Nothobranchius furzeri: one gene and its partner. The protein of the gene in region 1 purifies or fractionates together with the protein of each later gene. This does not show direct contact. Links are inferred from orthologs where the notes say so. Each region holds a gene or a part of one and is shown on either strand. Other genes may lie near its edges.

Region 1 (10,858 bases):
AAAGTGAGGATGCACTAAAAATAATAACCTAAACTAAACTGCAGGCTACACGAGCATCTCAGGACGTTTTGTAGCTCCGCATAACACATTTATGATGTTATTGCACACTAACAGGTTAATCCACAGCAAAAGGTTTGACACCACCCGTCTTCACATTTCAACACAAAGTGGCGAGCTGGGGACCCGAGGTTCATATTGCAATAGTTGTGTTACTGTTGTGATGAACAGTGACTCATTTACACCTGTAAACAAAAACGGTTTCCATAAACAAGAGCTGAAAACGAATGCGGACCAGATGAAGTGTTGAGAGATCCTGAGCGTTGCAGCTGAATTAGAAGCAGAGAATGGAGAACAGCTCAGAAGTGAGTGGTTCTTGTCCCGGGCCGTTCCGAAACCCAGAACCGGAATTTGACAACAGCCTGTGAATATCCGACGACCGTCTGTGTGAAATGTTTCAAAACTTCTGAATTTAACAGAGACCTGGTGGTGTCATAAGCACACCTGATGTTAAAGGGGCGGAGCTTTCCTTTAAACCCATCACTATCTGAGCTGGGTGGGGTGGGGGTGGCGGGTCATACAGCAAATTATATTCGGGTTAGTTCCGTTGAAAACAGCATAAAAAGGAGCGGTAATACATATAAAACTTCTGGGCTCTGCGTAGTTTCTCCTGTAAAGGATTTTTAAGACAAAGTTCTCCTTTTTCCTGCATGGAGCCTCACAGGCTTCCGTCTCAGCGGAACTCCCGACACCTTTATTCCACAACATAAAGGCTGTTTTTTTTTTTTTTTTACAGATCTTTCCTTCAGCATGAATTCAAGCTTGCACACGGAGGTGGAACGACTAACATATCTACAGTGAACTCATCTGAATGCATGAAGAACGAACATGACCGAGGCGTCCCGCAGCTGGGCCACAAAGCCGCCACAGTTCAACGGGATAAAGGCTTACGGAGGTGCGGTCAAGGACACCTTCCTTTGTCAAACCCAGAAAACTGTCCCATTAAAAGCCATGAGACAAGGACCACCACAGCTAGGAAGTTGCATTTGTCCATTTGTCAGAGTGGAGAGGCACCGATCGACTCGTCTTTAGCGTCCATCCAGAGTGTCCGTTGGTTTGATGCCCACCAAAAAATTAAAGTTTGAGTACGCCCGAGATTCCAAAGGAAATCATGCTTAGCTGTCAGTGTTTTCACAGTTGTCGCCACATCAAACATGATTTTTACTTTTTTTTGTTGTTTTCGTCGGCCCAGGTAGAAAACTGTAGATCTACCTCACTGATCAGGTCCATCCTTGGTCTCATCATAAACCACTACTCTTTTTGGATCTGCAGCAAAGAAGAAGAAAGGTTTGTCAACATCACATCCCTCCCACAGTCACGTGGGATTCATGACCGCGTCACTGAACAAAAACCACTAAAACCAATGACTAGTGATGCTGGGCACCCAAACACAAAGCAAGTTTTAAAGTCAAACTTAAAACGGTTTATTTACCTTGTTTTTGCACGTTAAAAATGGATTCCATTTCTGTTTGAGGGAGAAAAACGGAAATGTGTTAATTCAGCATCTCTGGTGTGTTCTCTGGTTTCCTCTAGTTAAAAACTTGGCAAGTTGACAAAATGTTCAAATGCAATTTTAAAAAAAAACCATCATGTTATAAAGTCATGCTTAAGTTTAAAACGTTGCTAGTTGAAGTTGGAGTTTAAAGGTCACTCGGGCTGTAAACCAACTTCTAGGAAATCTAACCAACACACTCGGCTGTCACACGAGGAAAGCTTGGAAAATAACAGCAAACTGGGGTTAGTTTAGTTGGCACACACACCAGTTATTACCCATTCACAGGACGCCATATTGTCACCAATATGTTTTACAGATAGAAGCGGACACCGTTACCTTTAGTGTGATAGGCGACAGCAGCTTTAATGTCAGAGGGCCCCCAGCTACACCTCCTGCTAGCGTCGTTCGGGTGGACCACTTCTTTAGAAGAGCCAAACAGCACAGTGGTCTGCTGGCCCTGAACAGGCTTAGCACCATTGTCTTTACAAAGAGCCGAGACAGAAGAACCTTTGATCTCAAACTTCGTTTTGTCCTGGCCAAATGGCGGGAACTTTGTCTCCTCCTCAAAAGCAGGAGAACGAGCGTTTGACGCTTGGCAAGGGGCACAAGTCCTTCTCTCAGAGTCTTTGAACAAAGTTCCAGGCTCTACAAATATTGGGCTAACATCAAAACACGGCAGGACCACCTTGTCTTCAACAGTCTGACTCTCACTTGGAGAAGTCCCAGAAGTCTGGTCCTCAGCAGGAGGATGCCCGTTTCCTCCCTCCAGCCCCAGGTTGGGCTCGTTGATGAAAGAGAGCCCCCACTGATTCTGGAAGATGTCTCCCAGGGCTTTCTGATTTGTCTTAGCAGCCGGTGGGTCGAGGTGACGAGCACTAGGGAGCACAGGTTGCATATTTAAAGGGTAGATTAACAGAGTACACTTTTTAAGCTCGTTAGCGTCTCCATCTACAGGACTTGTTGAGCTACAGTTACTTTCCAGAGAAGATGCTACATTCTCGCCACTTGGGACAGACAGGGCTGATTGAATACAACTAGCAGCAGGAACGAAGAAGGTGCCAGCAGACGGGCAGCCGTTTCCATTTCCAGAAACAGGACCATTAGTAAAGCTAGCTGAGGTGATAGTTTTCATAGCAGACATCGGGACTTGAGACAGTCTCATGGGAGGAGGAACCACTTCTCCACTTTGAGCTACTTTATTGAGGTTCTCTTTTACTTTACTTGCATAACTGATCTTAGGAACGATTTTAGCACTGCTATTGTCCACAGGAAATACGGGAGGGGGCTTGAACAAAGTCCACGGGTCCTCCTTTGAAGGAGAGGAGAGTTTGCCTTTGTGCCGTTCCTCTGTTTTCTTACCAAAGGTGCCAGCTGTTTTGCCATCGGAGTTTTTCCTTTGAGATTCCCCCACTGTAGTCTCGGGAACGACAGCTCGTTTGGCAGCAGACTGGGTAGATCTGCCTTTCTCAGTCGCCTCAGGATTCAAAGCCCCCAGCTCCTGTGTAGTGTTGCGGGGCTGCATGTCTCTCTCTTTTTCTTTTGTCACATTATCAGTGTTCTTGGCATTGTTACACCTGGTCTTGCGTTTCTTCGGAGTGGTGTACCCGCCTTCGGATCCGCTGCCATCATTGTCCCTGCTAGAATAGCCATTTGTAATGAAGCCACAATTTACGACACCGTTGTGAAGCAAAACAGAGTCTTTCTTATCCAAGCTCTGGAGGTCATCGTGAGTCAAATCCAGAGTCTTTTCCTTGTCATTTTTAAAGTCCATATTCTTCTTACGGTCCAGAAATTTGCTGCTCGCTTTTGGAGCAGGCGTGTAGAGCTTCTGCGCCCCTTTTTGCTTTAGACTGGCGTTGTGCGCATGTTTGTTACCATTGCCGTGGGAAGGAAGCGACATACCAACAGGATCAGACAGACGTAGATTCCTCTCTCCTTCCTCGTCGCCAACGTTTAATTTTTTATTGCCTAAAAAAAAAAGGAAAGAAAATAAGACGATGTGGAAATGATAGGACTCTACAGACACCACAAAATCTAACAACTATACGTTTATGGTTTGCAGTTTCTTGGAAAGTGATGTTTTAAGATTAGCCAAACACTTATTATGCTACAATTATCACAATGTATTAATGGCACACCGCATAGGAAAGGTGGATGGATACAGGAAGCACAGATTTACAGTGAAGCATCATGACTAGGCCTCTGAAGGCTCAGATTCGTGGGAAGTGCTGTGTCAACGTGGGACTTCCTACTCCACAGTGCTTCTCCACCCCAGTAACATTTATTGGCACAACACACCTCACATTCCTGTCACAGCCAAAACAATTAGTTTCATTTAGCAAATGTACATTTTACAGCGACTGTCAGCTTACGTTCGCTTAATGCTGACAGAGCCTGATCAGCTGCGTGGCTTCTCCAGACAACATTCAAAAGGGCCTGTCAAATGGCTAATGTCTGCTAATATCGCCTAGCTAGTAGCGGACAACGATAACACCACAGTACCGGTCGACAATGACGCGTAAAAAAACGTCCACCGTGTCGTTGTTGTCCATATTTTCCTAACTAGCCGGTTAGTGTTGCGTTAGCTAACTGTGATATTCTGACATGGCCGACCGGAAATGGCTGCACAGAACATTCCAGCGGAGCCGGCTCGGTTTCCTACACTGCACAGAGCTAACTGGAATAACATCAGTACAATTTAGGCCACTGTTACAGAAGAGTTGTTTTGTTTAGAATACAGAGGGACATAAGCGGTGTTTTAGAACATATTCAGCTACATAAGCCATTTAAAATTAGGCGGTGAAACCGGTGTTGTGCCGAAAAAAAGCGCCCCTGCCATCACTAGCACTCTTAGCGCAGAAAGCTAATCCCAAGGTATGTTCTTTTACCAATACACCGAGTAAAAGTTACAAATGACATACCTCCTCGTGTTTTTCTGGACCGCTGAGGACACAAGTATCTACATTTATATTAGAAAAATTAATAAAGGGTTCTTTTTTTCGGCACGGCACCGGCGCACAAGGTCAATCTGCGATCTGTCAAACCACCAGCAGCGACAACGCTCACGCAACGTCAGCAGATAGCGAGTATAATGTGTGGTTTCTCGTGTGACACTGGCTGACTATCTGTCTGATTAACCAGCTGCTCCGCCCGTCCTCAAAACTATTCGGGGCAGCAGCTAGGAGCTAGCTGGCTCCCAGTTACGTTAGCTAGCGAATGCTAGTCGGCTCATTGACATTAGCCGACTTTTCAGGGCGGCCCGACCTGTTTTCTTCGTCTGCGTTTCCTGATGCTGGCACTGGAAGTGGCTCTGATCATTTTTCAGACAAGCTGTGCGTTGAGTAGAGTTCCTGTCCTCCCCGTGGTGGTGGTAGTGCCTGTCTTGTGCCCGATCTTTGGGCTGTTCCTCCATTGAAGTGAAGAATGTCGGACGCGTTCCGCCTGTGTGTTATTAGCTCTCAGTCCAATCACTACCAGAGTCAAACGGAAGCTATTTGAAGCCTCTGTAAACGTCAGCAGTAAAATGTCTAAAAATGGCCCTGTTTTGGGTGGTCACTCCTCTGAAACCCACCTTTAGAATCAACTCCTAGGTGCTTAAAGAGTATTTCATAAGACTTTAAAATGTGCGCACACGTAGAAGTTTAGGATAACACGGGAGTGATTTCAAATTATATATATATATATATATATATATATATATATATATATATATATATATATATATATATATATATATATATATGGAGTGTGAAATAACGGGGTGGGGTTCGTGGAAGAGCCTAAATCATATGACCCGAGGCGCTGCCACGTCTCCAGCTAGTTGACACATTAGGGTCACAAGAGACCAGCCCCCTCCAAAAATGGAAAAGCAGTTAATTTATTTGCGTTATACAAAATTTTCTTGCTGCTGCCTAATGCATATATGATCAGCTTATTATAAGAAAAATTGACGTGTTTGTAAAATCATGCACATTTTTATTTTTACATGCTTTACCTGGCTGGAATCACACAGAGCCACATTTAAGGAATAAAAACACTGATTATTTGATAGACAGCATATCAATATTATTTATGTATTGCTTTGATTTATTCAACGGTAATTATGAAATAATAATAATAATAATAATAATTATTATTATTATTATTATTATTATTATTATTATTATATTTTTGTTGTCTTGTGGTAGTTGTAATAATTAAATAGTCGCGCCAGTGACTCCCTCTAGCGGCTAAACATATAATTTTCTAATCTCGCTTTAGAGCAGGAAAGGAAACACAAGGACAAATGAATCACCTAACTTCACCATTGTCTCTGGACTCAGAATAAAACCCACACGTATATAATTTAGCTCTACCATTTCTTTCTTTTTTCAACATGTCTCAACTGATGTCTGAAAACTGTGAAAGTTAAGTATCTATAGTAAAATAGACCACGCCTGTTTTAGCCTGACACTTTTTGCTGATATGTGCAGCCCTACTTCACCTTTAAAATGTGCACGTGACTGCTACTTTGACATAAAATATTCATATGACTGCTTCATTTAAAGGCAGGTTTTATTTTTTAAACGACAGGTTTTAGTGAAAGGGTTCTCTCCAGGGCACAGACATGCAGTATCTTTAAAATAAAAACGGTGTTCTGGCAGATATCGAGGGGTTTAAGATGCATTTTCTGCTGTGATATTTTTATTAACTCAGAGAAAAAGTTTTAGTGAAATTTTAGATTAGAAAGGAATTCATGGAAGTGTGGATTTAGTGTAAAGCACCTAAAAAGCATGTTAATATTTCTGACTAACAGCTTATTCTGACTGAAAATTAAAACATTAAAAGTACTAAAGCATTCGTATTTATTTTAATCCATTTCTTAGTTTTAGATGTATCAACAAATTTTAGGGAAGTAATTTGTTTAGCACTTTAAGTTTCACACAAAAAAAGGAATTAGATTTTTTTTTGTATCCTTTATTTATTTTCAGCAGTTAGGTTGTAATGAAATGTAAATTTGGTAAAACGTTACAATAAGGATCCATTTATTAAGTTACGTAGTGCATTATTAAGCTTTAATAAACTATTATTCAAAGTATTACAGCTTTAACCATATTATGTAATGCACTACTAAGCAGTCAGCCTCTAAGAAATGATAAAGAAATAATGTGTGGATAAAATAAAAATGCAAGTTTGAAGTCAGTCACCTTACTACCAGTCTTACTCCACCCACACTTCCTGTTATAATAATAATAATAATAATAATAATAATAATAATAATGCATTGAACTTATATAGCGCTTTTCAAAACCCCCAAAGACGCTTTCACACACTCTCACATTCACACACTGCTAGTGATGGTAAGCTACTTGTAGCCACAGCCGCCCTGGGGAGGTCTGACAGAGGCGAGGCTGCCATTTGGCGCCGTCGGCCCCTCTGACCACCACTAACGCTCTAAACTCCTTTTTAGCTCTAAACAAAGTTTGAGGAGAAAAACGGCTTTTTGGATTGTAAATGTTGCAGACTCCTACTCTAGATGGTTGTGCAACTGATTCTTTTTGGACCGTGATAGTGGACCTGTTGCAGCAGACAGGCACCATAGCCTTAAGGAGACGTTGGTTCCTCAGCAGAACCTCTCAGAACCTGTGATATGGGTCCAAGCTGCCTCTGCAGCGTCCTCCTTGTGATGAATCAGGACAGCAGTCAATCAACATCTTTCCTTTGGCTTTTCAACCTACTTCAGGGCTCACTGTCTTTTCAAAATAAAAGACATTCTGAAGATCCACTGTTATTTCAGACTTTATTATTTAATTTTTCTTGGATAATTTCTGTAAGATAAAATATTAATGTCTTAAAAATATAGATATATTCACTCCTAGAGTTATGCAGTAGAAATGTCAAGCCTGTAAATAAAAGTGTGACAACAACACAGCAGTAAGTGCAGCTCAGTGATATCTGTTATGTCTCAGTGATGTGTTTGGAACCATGACATTTAGGAGAATAACTGTTTGTTTCAGTTGGAATATAAGGATTTGATCGTTTCTGACTCACTGTAAATTTTAAAAAGTGCACGTCTGGCAGAAATAAAATGGAAAACAAACCATCAGAGTTGCATAAAAGCCAGATTTTTGCAGTGGCATCCTGCATGCAGTCAAAATGCATCTTATCTAGGGACGTTCAGTCTGTCAGTTTCAGTGAAGAGAAGTCGTGTCTGCCGTCCTCGGGGTGTCTTCACAGTGTGAGCTGGACATCCTCGTGTCGTAGAACCTTGTAGGTGAGCCAGTAGAGGACATTAAACATGAGGAAGCTCATGGGGAAAAGAGCTCTGGAGATGGTGTCGATCCTTTTTGCCCGTTCCACGAAGCGTCGCCGGATTTCATAAAAACCTAAACCAGGAGGTAAGTCGGCAAAGACCGGGGTTGCATCCATCTCTGGTGCAGTTCCTGCTGACAGAGCGAGTCCAATGCTCTGGAAGAGAAAACCCTGATGGGCCAGCTCCTCCTCCTGGAAAACACAACCAGACTTACTGAGACCCAGTTTGGGGTTTGACCACCTGCTGTTTGGTTGAACGGCGAGACGGCACACACCCTGGCACAGGCGCTGCAACGCTGGCTCACACTCCCATGATACGGAGTATTCCCTGGCGTGTTATTTCCCTTCACCTTACTGTCACTGCTGCCCTGCTAATAGAGAAGAGAATACACAACTTTTAATAATAAACAGATGCTTTATTTAGGAAATAATTTTTCCTAGATGGTAGACTCAGCCCACTTCTGCTCCCCTTTGTTCTCTAATATCCGACACAAGAACGTTTACCAACAGTGAAGTGAGGTGACTTGCATTAACCACAGGCCACTGCTGGCTGCCTTTCCCAGTCGGAGCGCAGCATGCAGCTGAACTGTTGCTCCTGCATAGCTGGGTGCAGGCAATAGCAGGTGACAGCTGCCCGAGGGCCTGAGTGGGTGGCTTGTACTCACAGTCCTCAGCCTTTGCTGCTCTTTGAGCTTCTTCCTCAGTCGGAAGAACTCCTTGTGCTGCCGTGAAACAAAGTTAACAGCTGCATACTCTAGCAGCGCCGCAAACACGAAAAGAAGACACACTGCCATCCAGATGTCTATGGCTTTGACGTAGGACACCTACAGAAGCAGAAAAATAATGTGTTTAGGAGGGTAAACTCTGTAAGGGTAGTTCTGTAGAATGTTAAATAAATAGTCCGACCTTCGGCAGTGAGGCCCTTGAGCCTGAGCTCTGCGTCGTCATTGTGAGCACAGTGGTGATCCCTAACCCCACTCTGGCCGGAGCGGCGTCCATGTTGATCCAGAAGGACACCCAGGACAGGATGACGGTGAGCAGGCTAGGTATGTACATCTGGATCAGGTAGTAACCCATTTGGCGCTCCAGGTAGAATTTGACCTCGATGCAGGTGAATTTGCCTGAAGACAGGAGGACAGTGTCAGCAGATGCTGACAAACCCAGAGTTTAGGACATCGTCCGGCTCCGTGTCACATACCTGTGTTGTAGTATTTGGTGCAGTAGCCAAGACCTTTCTCCTCTTTCAGCACAAACTGCGGGAGCATCAGGTCATCAGCCACCTGCACTGCTCCAACATCCAGCCACTCAAAGATGAGGTCATTCATCGTGTATCCAACTAGAGGTGGATAAAGGTGCACAAAGAGCAGCATGTTCACTGACAAAGTTTGTGTCCTTCTTATGGCTTTAGAAGATGAACTCACAACTCTCCAGCTGCATAGTACACATCTGGCTGTCCATGGGGAAGTTCTTCAGGTCCATCGGACAAGAAAGAGTGAGAGTCAGCCTGAAGGACAGAGACAGCAGTTATTGTGTCCTCATGTGAGTGTTTTCATCCAGGGTCAAAGGTTACATTTAAAGTAGACCTGTTACGACGTTTTAACAAACATATTGGCTCCATGACCTACATAAAATGTGTTTGTGAAGTTCTTTGCTCAAAAACCTCTCTCACATAAAGCAGTTTCATTAGTTTATTCTTGGCAGTTTCAGTGCCTTCCAGAATGAGCCGTTTCAGAGCTCTGTCACTTTAGGAAAAGAAGTCAGAGCTGGCCAATCCCATAATAATGCCCAAAATGGACCGACTGGTTGTCCCCGTCCTTTTGCGTAACCAGGTTCGGGTCAACCATTGAGAACTCTGGCTCCAACATTCTTCTTTGTTATTTTCTTCTTATCCAGCAAGGGCATCAGAGGTAGCTCAGGTTAGCATTAGCAGTAGCTCAGGCTGCAGTTGGCATTATCATGACTAACGTTGGTACAGGCAATGTCACAGTGGGTTGGATGTTAAACCAACTTTCTCAGAGCAAACTGTTTCTCCATGGCCATTACAGCATTTCTAATTTACATGGGAAAGCAGGTTTGAGACAACAGAGGCTTTTCTCATGGTACATTAAACACCACAAAGTTCCCTATATTAAACAACAATAACGTGCATGTGGTTTTAAAGGTAGATTACTCATTTAATAATACATTTGCAGTGGTCTCAAGTGGGAATGAAAGCCTTGCAGGCAGAACTCAGGGCACAGAGAGCTCACAAACCCATGGGCCAGCAGGACCAAGTCTGCAACATCAAAGCTGAGGTCTGAGCTTTAAACTTTAGGACAGCCTTCATTTCAGAAACCAGTAGGGAAGTAGGAAATATTATGATGCGTTATGATGCTGATTCAACATTTAAAAGCAGTGTATTCATATTTTATTGGGAATGTGCATGCAAACATTAACTGAATTTCTTTTGTGTGGTGCAATTTAAACTCTGACTGCTAGGTGGCAGCAGTTTTGACAGCAGAGTACTTTTCCAGAACACTCAGGTCCTTCATGGTTTGCAGCAAGATGCTGCATGACTTCTATAACTATGGTGAGGAGAGTCTCTTGGCTCATCGCCTGTCAGGGTAGCAGCATCAGAGTCAGGGATCGATAAACATAAACCTGATAAAACATGATACCACCGTGCAGCAACAACAGAGCATCTTCAGTCAGAGGCTTCTCCAGACCTGCTGTATTATTATTGCTTGAAACAATATGTGTTTCTACAGCATTTAATTTCTTCCTGGGATTATTGAAGTATTTACACATTTGAATTTTTACAGCCTCTATTCTGATGGAACATTGAGATAGGCCTGGCGTTTCACTGATTGTGAAACGCCAGGCCTGCGTTTTCTAAAGTGAATTCAATTTTAAAAATGGCAAACGTCACATAGCTTATTGTGTCCCCTGTGTTGTGATATATATATATATATATATATATATATATATATATATATATATATATATATATATATCATATCGTATCGCCAGATTCTT
Region 2 (10,947 bases), on another chromosome or scaffold:
ATATTGAATAGATCAAACGGCAAGTGTCTAAATCTATTGCTATACTTTATAAAACTAGTGATGTACTAAATAAAAAAGCCTTGTTTTTGATTTATTACTCTTTAGTTATGCCTTATTTGTCTTACTGTGCAGAGGTTTGGGGAAATGCAGGTAAAACGTGTGTTGAGACTGTATTTAAATTACAAAAAAAGGTGATTAGAATAGTTAATAAACTGGGATATCTCGAACCAACCCATAATCTATTTAGTCAAACTAAAACGCTAAAATTAGGAGATATTATTAAAGTAAAAAATCTTAGATTCTTCATAAAGTAGTTAATAATATCCCAAACTACATAAAAGTTTATTTCAAACCAAGAGATGATCATTATAATCTCAGAGGTGTATTTATGTTTGAATGTGTAAAAGCCAGAACTAAGGTGAAATCAAGATGTGTTTCCGTTGTTGGTGTGAAATTGTGGAATGAGTTAGATGATGATTTGAAGAAATGTACTTCTTTACTAAAGTTTAAAGCAGGTGTAAAGTATAACATATTTACAGGGTATGAAAAGTATGTTAAGACATTAATGAATTTTCATTGTGGTTATTTATATTGGGGAAAATAAAAGTAATGTATATTGGTTATGTATCTTAGGTGGAAAATAGGGTAGGCTAAAATAAGCATTGCTTCTGCCTATTCCTTTTTTGGTTTAAATTCAAGTTGTTAATATTGTTGTTTTGTTTGAAAAGGAAAAATTTTACATTAATGCTACAAACCAAAATAAAGACCAAAGAAAGAAGAACATGGACATGTCCAATAGAAGCTGTCAAATCACCAGAGTCCACCTTGGACCATCTGAAACATCTGACCTGGAGCAGGGTGGGCAGAGGACCCTGGAGCAGCACGTCCAACAAGAGCAGTGACACTGGTTATGAAGACAAACTTAGTCTCCAAGAGGACATCACCTATGCCTTCAGGAAATTGAAGCTTACCCGCTCCGTTGATTCCTCTTTTTTATTTTCTTTTTTGTCTCATTCGTGGTTGGAGCTTTTGTTTGACGTTTGGTGTCACATTTCTTTGATTCTTACATCAGACAGTCTCTCACTGGGTACTTATTTTGTTGGATAAACATTAAAGCTCCACATTTGCCACAATCTATAGATACAAGCTGGAGAATAAAAGTTCTGCTTAGTTTTTATCACAATATTTGTACATCATCTGCAAATTGGCAGAGTGTGAAAGGAAAATCCCAAAAGCTAAAGCTTTTTGTACAAAAATAAAACATTAGGCCATAGACTGAACCAGCAAAACCTCTGGGACATGAAAAACACTAAAACCCACCAGAGTATCTTCTGGATCCCAGATGAAATCTTTAAGGAAAAGAAACTTTTAGAAGTTCACCTCTAGTCTTGTTTCTTTTTGCGTGTGAATAAGTGAACCAAACCAGGAACAAACACCATGACAATCTGAGGAACCAGAACGAATTTGATGAAGAACAAGCCGTAGAAGAGGCCTTGTGGTTGGACGGGCAGAGGCAGACGGTTCACGTGGTAAAGTCCCATGGATGAAAAAGCCAGCGACAAAGCTCTTGGAGCCCACGGGAGGGACCAGCCATTAGGCTTCCAGTACTCAGCCAGACCCAGACCCAGAAGAGCCCCACAGTCTCGAGTCAAAGAGGAGAACGGGGCTGTGTCCAGACGGATCCACTCTGCGTGACTGCACCACTTCTTAGCCAAAGCAATAGACCTGTTTTAAAAAGTCTGTTCAGCGGGATAGCTCTCATTAAAGCACGAAGATTACTATAAAGAAAACAAGACTCACCAAGAGAGGTCAATTCCAATCTGCTGCAATCCCACATTGACCATCAGAGCACTGAGCAGGAGGCTGAAGCTGAAGCTGAAGTAGAACAGCAGGGGGCGACCTTCTGGTACTCTACCACTCAGGACAATACCCAAAATAAACCCTGGCAGCAATCAGATGTAAAAGACACATTACTGACTTTGTACTCCTCAGACACAAATAGCTTCAATGAAATCATACTATAAAGAACAACATCTGCAAAGTGTCTGTTAATGCTTTTGGGTTTATTTGGCAGAAAGGAATACAATACCACAGCCAAAAGCCATCTATGTGCTCACTTATATGAAGATGACGATGCACACAGACCTGTAATGCAACCAGCAATAACCTGGTGAGGAAAATGAGCAAGGATGAAGATCCTGGATGTTCCAACTGCAACCAGCAGAGCCACATAAAGCAGGAAGGGAGCAGACGATATCAGCACACTGAAGGCAACAGGCCAGGGATACTTGTTAAAAACATCTCTAATATTCCACAGTTCCTGCCTGTTTTACAGCCAAAACAACACACTTGCTTTACTTTATTTACCTGCGAGTACGGGAGTACAGAAATGACCCCAGCGAGGATGCAACAACCCACCAGACTGCTGCTGTCACCATTGCATGTCCTGATGGACTTCCTGAGAGACAGACGCCAACTTTTCATGAGTGCCATCTGTGACTCATATGTGTCTCGTTTGTCTTGAAGGACCTCTCACCTGGGCCGGTTTCACAGGTGGATGGGAACTGGTGAATTCTGGGTGGCATGCTGACATATAAATGAGATTCACCTATCCACCAGAATGGTCTTTCCCCAAACAGCATCCTGGAAAAGTAAAAGGACACAAAGTACTATAAATATGTCTGTTGATCTTGTTCAAAAATACAATTAATTCCATTTTACAATGTTCAAAACCTAAAGAACTCTGCGTGAAAATATATTAAATTCTTATTTCATTTTAAATCTATTATCAGAAGATACGTATAAATGTTTGTGACTAAGATTGAAAGGAACTGGTTACATTACTCAGTTACATTTGCTTGAGTAAATTTCTTTTTACATTACTATTTCTAGAAGTTTATCAATATATACGTTTTCATGAGTAACATTATTACGTACCGCTACTCTTACTTGAGTAGCTCTAGTTACCCAGAAATGCAGAACACATGCACGCAGGCACGCAGGCACGCACGCACACACGCACACACACACACACACACACAGGGATTTAAATCTACTGAGCCTATATTACCTGCTGAAGGTCAGGTGAGTCCGCAGTAAATAGTATACACGTTATCTAGTGGAAGAATTGGTTTCTAAAGCTTTGTGAATAACAACAATAAGAAACGAGTTTCTTCTGCCTTAATTTGTTATTTTATAATTTCACAATTTATTTTGAATTATTTATGTTTGTTTTTCGAGCCACACAATTTTGCCTGAAAAGAACGGCAAATAATTGTAATTTTGCTCGATGTGTGTTAAAACGTTCCGCTTTTCCTGGTTTCACCACGGACAACATAAACAATAGGACTGCAGTGTTGTCCCTGATGCCGCAACGTCTAACAAATCCCAAAAATTTCAAAATAGAAGCTGATAAATTATATATTGAGACAAATATAATTGATTCACATATAGCACTAACACAAGCATGCGCTAACGTGTTGAAACTTTCCACGACAATTGATTTTTTAAGCCTTACCATTTAAACACCAGGTTTAACCACTCCGATATAGCTGCGATCCAGAGCACCGCCACTCCAGCGCGTTTATCTAGAAAATACGTGAATGGAAAGACGAGCAGGAAGGCTGCTTTAGGGTCTCCTAAGTGAGTGATCACGAGCCAACATTGTTCGAGACTCTTTGTCTGTTGCTGGAGAGTTTCAGCGACCCAAATGCCCTGTGTGTAGACGGACTCCATTTTAACGAACCCCCTCTAAAGTATCTAAAAGCAGTTGAACCTCAAAACATGTAGCTAATTGTCGGATGATGAAATCTAGGATGAGATGCTGAAAATGTTGCACTACTAGTTTATTTCCAGCAGGAGGAGCTGTTTTACGTTGGGTTTCTTTCTTTCGTGGAACCGAGCGTTACGTCGAGATATGTCACTCAGTGTTCCAATATTAGTTCTAAGTAGATAGAAGATAAAATATGTTATTTTAAAAATTTAAGACCAGAAAATTTTATAATTCATTCATGTAAACCTGAAGTGAATGTGGTATTTCAAGAAATATTTAAAGATTTTACAACTAAATTCTTCATATTCGGAGGCTCCTATTAAGACAAAAGAAAGGATTTTATTAAACAACCTGACTGTGTATTTAAATAACACTATGCATAAAAAATCATAATAGAACAATTGAAGTAATAAAAAGATGGCCTCATGTCAAGATAGGTTGACAACAATAGGATATTTATATGAATCTTTCTGGGAAGATCTAATCACATTTATTTGAGGTGAAAATTTGAACATAGAAAGATTCATTAACATTTAATAAAGCAAGACCCTTACCCTAATCCATCCATTTTCCTCCGCTGATCCAGGGTTGGGTCACAATTGGGCCAGTTCCTCTGGGGGAATCCCAAAGAATTCCCTGGACAGACAAGAAATCAGTTATCAAGTTGAACATGCCTGGAAACCCTCACCAGGGAGGTGTCCAGGAGGCATCCTAACAAGATGTCTGAGCCACTTCACCTCGATGAGGAGGAGCAGCGGATCTACTCCAAGCCCCACCCTGTTGTCCTGGGGGGAATTGCTTAGCAAGATTCCCCAGGAGACAGAGAAGTCTGAAGGCAAAACAACAATGATGTTGTGAACCTGGGTGTCTGTGTGTATTTGTTAGCGGCTCCGCCCTCTTGGTCTGCCAGGCAACAGCAACAGGAAGAGGGAGTAGAGTAAGACTCTGGTAGGGGGCGACTTGCCCTTTAATTATTATTCATCATCAAATGTTTCCTTATTACTAGAAATATTAGTTTGAGGTAAAACTTAACTATGAGGAACAAAGCTGTGCTTATCCTTAGAATAATTAATCAGCGCCAACAACATTTGAAAACAGTTTGATGAACACATTTTCCCTTTTATCCACATTTTTTATTGAAAGTAATTAGTACATTTTTGCACATTTACAAAAAAGAATATATGTAGATACAGTTTTGATTCCTTTTGTATTTTCCACATAATAAAATAGTTAATAAGGGAGGGAGCTGGGGGGGAACTTGTTGGAGTTAACATACTAGGTCCCAGAAAAATGATTTACATAACAAAACTTTGTAACAAATTAACATACATTATGAATTATTCCTGAAACCAGACATAATTAGATGCGTGTTTAGGATGTTGTTTTACTGCTGCTGTGGTATGGTCAAATCAGGGAAGTGACGCATTAGTCAGTGTTCGCTGTAAACCTTTGCTCTAAATGACTGATGTGTTTTGTTTTAAATAACGCCTCTTTCTTTAAATCTGTATGATCCGTAAATCGCCTGACGTACTGTGTGGGGTAAGGGTAATATATTCAAAGAACATTTGAGGTAAAGTATGCGTAATATTTGTCAATGACCTTAACTCGGCGTACGAGGGCACGCCCAGATTCGTCTTCCTACGCCACCACGTTGCTTTACGTAAGGCAGGCGCTCCGGTTTCCTGGCGGAGAAGATGGCGGCTCCTGGACCGGGGGAGTATTTCAGCGTCGGGAGCCATGTCTCCTGCCTCACCTGCTTGGGCCAACGGCTACAAGGAGAAGTGGTCGCTTTTGATTACCAGTCCAAGATGTTAACCCTGAGTATCCTTTGTTTGTTTCTCGCTGCGGACGGATGGCTGGCTGGCCTGCCTGGCTGCACAGGCCTGTAGGGTAACCGAAAATATGTCAAATAGTGATCCGCGCAGGCGTAATTGGTGGGAGCTGAGTTACACATCTTTGTCCGTTTTAAGTTATTTCATTTTCCGAAGTAGTTGTCCATTTTTTTGTGAAATTAAGTCATCATTTGCGTTTTCTTGGTGTTTTAATGCGCCTGCTCGGACGTACATGTGTTTTGAATCCACTCATTGTATTGGCAGCTCTCGACATGGATCACTATTTGGCATCATGGCTGTGTGCTCTCAACAGTTAGCAGGCTAACTGACATTCAGCGCATCTCGCTCTGACTTGTGTCCGCACGTGTATCTCACACAGTCTTCACCCACAGATGCCAGCGCTCGCTTTAATGAGTTCGTTTTATTTTCTACGACACCCATCGGAGCTACAGGGGAAGGGCTGCTAGCTCGGCTAACATGCTAACTTTCGTACAAACCATTCCACCCATATTCTGCTCGGAAGCTATGTTAACGCTAGTACGCATCTAAGGTGTGTTAGCCTGTTTTTATTGCGAGTTTATCACGATTTTATTTTCTTGTGACACAAATTAATTACAGCTAATCACGATTCATTTGGGTTAGCATGCTGAGCTGATCACAACTAACCTTAGCTTGTCTGTGAGCATGCTTCCATCCCTTCATGGGAGGAGGATATAGGTGTATGATAAAATGTAGTCATTTGATTAGAGGCTAATTTAAAATTAAAATAATACGCTAAACTTCTGGTGTAGTGACAGTCTACGTGACCGAACTGGCATATGACTCAAGAGGGTTAAAAAAAGAATGAATGGGTTTGACAGTGAGGGCGTTCTGTGTCTAAAACATAACTACGTCACTCATTTAATGTATAATTTCCCCCAAGCAAAATTGGATGTATGATTTTTCTAAATTAAAGGCTTCAAAATGTTTCTAGCTATAAAAAGATGATTGAAATCTTTAAGTATCTGTTGGAAGTGGGGATGTTTGAACAGATGGACCCAAGTTCTGCTCTGAGGTCTGGCAAAACTGGACCTTCTGTAATTTTCACAGGTTATAGCGTCACCAGGTAACTTGTGAATATATTTACATACAATACAGTTCCATCTGTTGATTTCATCATAAAGTACTAAATGTACTAAAACATGTTTTGACACTTCTCATAAAGGTTCCCATTTGGATGTTCATAATTTAGACCGGTAGTGACATTTAAATGGTTTTAGTGAATCTGTCAGCATTTTTGTGACAAATTCAGTACAGTGAAACTACAAACATGATGTTAAAAGCTAATTGTGTTTTTGGTGTTCATGTCAAATGTCCAGATTTTCTCTATTGTGGGTCAGTGTGCCAAAAATATCGTGGAATAAACCCCAAAAAGAGACTTGTTTTAGAAACTTCCTGACAATCTTGCCTCTTGTTAACCAAAGTGAAAGAAAGGATCATGTGTTGAAACTGTCGATGCTTTTCTGTTTCCACTTTCAATATGTTCTCGTGTTTGTTTGCTTCTATCGGCATCCCCTAAATACTTCGGCTTGCCATACAGCCGTTCATTCCAGGGTGAAATGCATCAGGATTTAAATGTGCATTTAGATTAAAACCCTCAGTTTGAATAAATAAATGAGTATTTTATCAGTGGAATTAGATTTTAAGATGAGTGATTTGTTGGAAACATTCCAACAGAAAAACAGATTCAACACGCTGCAAGTTTAATCAAATATTAATCTGAGAAAGAAGACATTTGTGGCTGTGTGCAGGCTGTCTAATTCCTATTCCTTCATTCATGTGTTGCTGCTGTAGGTGGCAGCACTGCCCTCAGCAGTCACACGCTGTAACTGGCACCACCTTTCACTGTCTGGTTATCAGCCACAGCTCCTATCAGAATGCAGATGGTGTTCGAGTTCCTCGGGGTCAGATAACAATAGTAATTTTGTTCTTCAAGTCAGTGTCGTGAAATTTTCTGCCTTAACTTGTGTCTTTAAAGAATGCGCTTCCTCCAGTGGTAAGTCAAACCTCAACGACGTCATCCTGATCAACTTAGCCTATGTATCTGAAGTGGACATAATAAATGACCGGACTGAGACTCCACCTCCACTAGCATCTCTGAATGTTGGCAAGGTGAGTTTGTCTCATTTCTGCTGCTTTTGCCATTAGAACAATGTTGTGATACATTTGAACTCAACGTTCAGCTGTGATGTGTCACAAACAGGATCCATCGATTCTAAGATCCTTATTTATTCTAACTTCAAAAGCCCGTACAGCGTGGCTCTTGTACGTTTGTGGTGCATTTAAATGGACAAAGTGGCACATATCCTGCCCCTCATTAACATAAAGGTGAGGTCTGGGTTTGTAAGGTGCGACTGGCGCAGATGTGTGACCTCAGAAAACCACTACACAGATAAATGTGTTTATTTTCCTTTGAAAGGTGCCTCATTTTAACAGTATCACAAAAATTTCTAACAATTCTCTTGAAATGCTTTATTATATTGGTCCGATTATAATATCGTTTTGGTTAGCCTATAGCAAAGGGAATGCTGCATGTTCCTGTAGCTGTGACAACATACCTAAATGATCTTACGGTGCACTTTGGTGATTTTCTACGGCAACTGTTCCCAAGCTTTTCAGCTTCAAACTAATAAAGTACAAAAGCCTACAGACATCTCTGATTAAAAATAAATAAAATTGGCAAAAAGAAAACCACTTTAGCTCCATTCCCTTATATACATTTTCGACAAATTGGTTGTCTTTTTAACAATTACGCTAGAAATGTAGCTTCAGCAGTTGTTTTTGTTTATTGGAAATCATCTCAAGGCCTCCTGTGTGGTTATGGACCAACAGAGGGGTCCTGACTAGAGGTCGACCGATATTTGTTTTATAATTGAATTAATGTGAATTTTAATTTATTCAGTCAAAAAAAACATAATATATTCAATAAAACATTACATTACATTTAACGTGACTAAAAAGGCTCAGGCCAAAGCAAAAATGCTTATATTTATGCCTGTCCTTTTTAACCAATTAAACAAATGAATCTACCCCTTTAACACAAATCTACAATTTAAGCAACATTAGAAAAGAATAAGAGAAATATACACCATTTAGTCAAATAAGTTCACACAATACTCTTACATTTACAACACAACTTATAAACTCTTGAAACCGTCAAAAATGATCTTCAAAACCATTCTTTTAAACAACAAAAATGTACCACAAGTTCTTACATTTACACTGGCATTCTATAGTTTAGCCCCCACCACAGATATACATTTCCTTTTTGACTTCTTTTTTTGCCAAAGGAACAGTAAATTTATTAATATCGCTAAAATCATACTTAGTTTCTACACAAAAAAAACTTGATTGCTTTGTGGAAGTAACTTTAATTTAGTTTTATACATTATTTGCATTATTTTATGTTATACTAAATCATAAAATTTCATAACGTGATTTTAAATACAACAGATGTGTATGTGCCAAATAATCTGCCTTGTTGATAATACACATTGCACGTTTTTGTAAGAACTATTGAACTAACTAACGTTTGATTAGTCAGTCCCCAGACTTCTCTACACACTATGAAATGTAAGGTGGTAGGAGTGAACAATAAATGATATGTAAAGCTGCATAATTCAACATATGTCTTGATTTGTACAGTACTGCTACAGGGAGTGCAGAATTTTTAAGCAAGTTGTATTTTTGAGGAATAATTTTATTATTGAACAACAACCATGTTCTCAATGAACCCAAAAAGCTCATTAATATCAAAGCAGAATGTTTTTGGAAGTAGTTTTTAGTTTTAGCTATTTTAGGGGGATATCTGTGTGTGCAGGTGACTATTACTGTGTATAATTATTAGGCAACTTAACAAAAAACAAATGTATACCCATTTCAATAAATTTTTACTAGTGAAACCAATATAACATCCCCACATTCACAAGTATACATTTCTGACATTCCAAAACAATACAAAAACAAATCAGCGACCAATATAGCCACCTTTCTTTGCAAGGACACTCAAAAGCCTGCCATCCATGGATTCTGTCAGTGTTTTGATCTGTTCACCATCAACATTGCGTGCAGCAGCAACCACAGCCTCCCAGACACTGTTCAGAGAGGTGTACCGTTTTCCCTCCTTGTAAATCTCACATTTGATGATGGACCACAGGTTCTCAATGGGGTTCAGATCAGGTGAACAAGGAGGCCATGTCAGTAGTTTTTCTTCTTTTATACCCTGTCTTGCCAGCCACGCTGTGGAGTACTTGGACGCGAGTGATGGAGCATTGTCCTGCATGAAAATCATGTTTTTCTTGAAGGATGCAGACTTCTTCCTGTACCACTGCTTGAAGAAGGTGTCTTCCAGAAACTGGCAGTAGGACTGGGAGTTGAGCTCGACTCCATCCTCAACCTGAAAAGGCCCCACAAGCTCATCTTTGATGATACCAGCCCAAACTAGTACTCCACCTCCACCTTGCTGGCGTCTGAGTCGGACTGGAGCTCTCTGCCCTTTACCAATCCAGCCCCGGGCCCATCCATCTGGCCCATCAAGACTCACTCTCATTTCATCAGTCCATAAAACCTTAGAAAAATCAGTCTTGAGATATTTCTTGGCCCAGTCTTGAAGTTTCAGCTTGTGTGTCTTGTTCAGTGGTGGTCGTCTTTCAGCCTTTCTTACCTTGGCCATGTCTCTGAGTATTGCACACCTTGTGCTTTTGGGCACTCCAGTGATGTTGCAGCTCTGAAATATGGCCAAACTGGAGGCAAGTGGCATCTTGGCAGCTGCACGCTTGACTTTTCTCAGTTCATGGGCAGTTATTTGGCACCTTGGTTTTTCCACACGCTTCTTGCGACCCTGTTGACTATTTTGAATGAAACACTTGATTGTTCGATGATCACGCTTCAGAAGCTTTGCAGTTTTAAGACTGCTGTATCCCTTTGCAAGGTATCTCACTATTTTTGACTTTTCTGAGCCTTTCAAGTCCTTCTTTTGACCCATTTTGCCAAAGGACAGGAAGTTGCCTAATAATTCTGCACTCCCTGTATAATCTTAAAGTTTTCCTTTAGTGTAAAACACATGCTGTCTCCATTTCATTTTATGCTCAATAAACATTTTTATTGTCGATGCCGATAGACACGGTCAACCGATGGCCGATATGTACTGCTTAGGGATGCACGTTTTCCAAAGTTTCTTTAACCGGTTATTGATGCCCCATAACAGTTAATTGCCGGTTAACCGGATGTAAATTAACGTAATGTGTAAATGTTAACTGGTGTCAAAGTCAAATTGCAGTCCAGAGTTCAGTGTCTCCTGGAGTC

Evidence for each region. Proteins that work in one complex are often made in the same cells at the same time.
Region 2: the proteins of nufip2 (region 1) and lsm12b purify together in Homo sapiens (affinity purification with mass spectrometry; 3 studies listed by BioGRID and IntAct, counting the BioPlex papers as one, with this or other methods). This does not show direct contact. The link is inferred for Nothobranchius furzeri from reciprocal best matches to the Homo sapiens genes NUFIP2 and LSM12.

Annotation. Positions count from the first base shown.
Region 1 is NC_091750.1:49,397,909-49,408,766, reverse strand, and holds nufip2 (FMR1-interacting protein NUFIP2), read right to left. Parts: upstream 5,061-10,858; 5' UTR 4,965-5,060; coding exon 4,817-4,964; intron 4,610-4,816; exon of another isoform or gene 4,474-4,609; intron 4,061-4,473; exon of another isoform or gene 3,925-4,060; intron 3,521-3,924; coding exon 1,889-3,520; intron 1,523-1,888; coding exon 1,490-1,522; intron 1,324-1,489; coding exon 1,271-1,323; 3' UTR 774-1,270; downstream 1-773. Other genes in the region: glycine receptor subunit alpha-2, read right to left, coding at 7,763-8,035, 8,119-8,214, 8,509-8,667, 8,750-8,964, 9,042-9,179, 9,265-9,347. UniProt on the Homo sapiens protein: Binds RNA.
Region 2 is NC_091756.1:47,420,808-47,431,754, reverse strand, and holds the start of lsm12b (protein LSM12 homolog A), read left to right. Parts: upstream 1-5,313; 5' UTR 5,314-5,466; coding exon 5,467-5,593; intron 5,594-7,621; coding exon 7,622-7,755; intron 7,756-10,947. Other genes in the region: g6pc3 (glucose-6-phosphatase 3), read right to left, coding at 1,383-1,725, 1,801-1,942, 2,146-2,264, 2,368-2,458, 2,537-2,643, 3,518-3,735. UniProt on the Homo sapiens protein: Nicotinic acid adenine dinucleotide phosphate (NAADP) binding protein. Confers NAADP sensitivity to the two pore channel complex (TPCs) by acting as TPC accessory protein necessary for NAADP-evoked Ca(2+) release.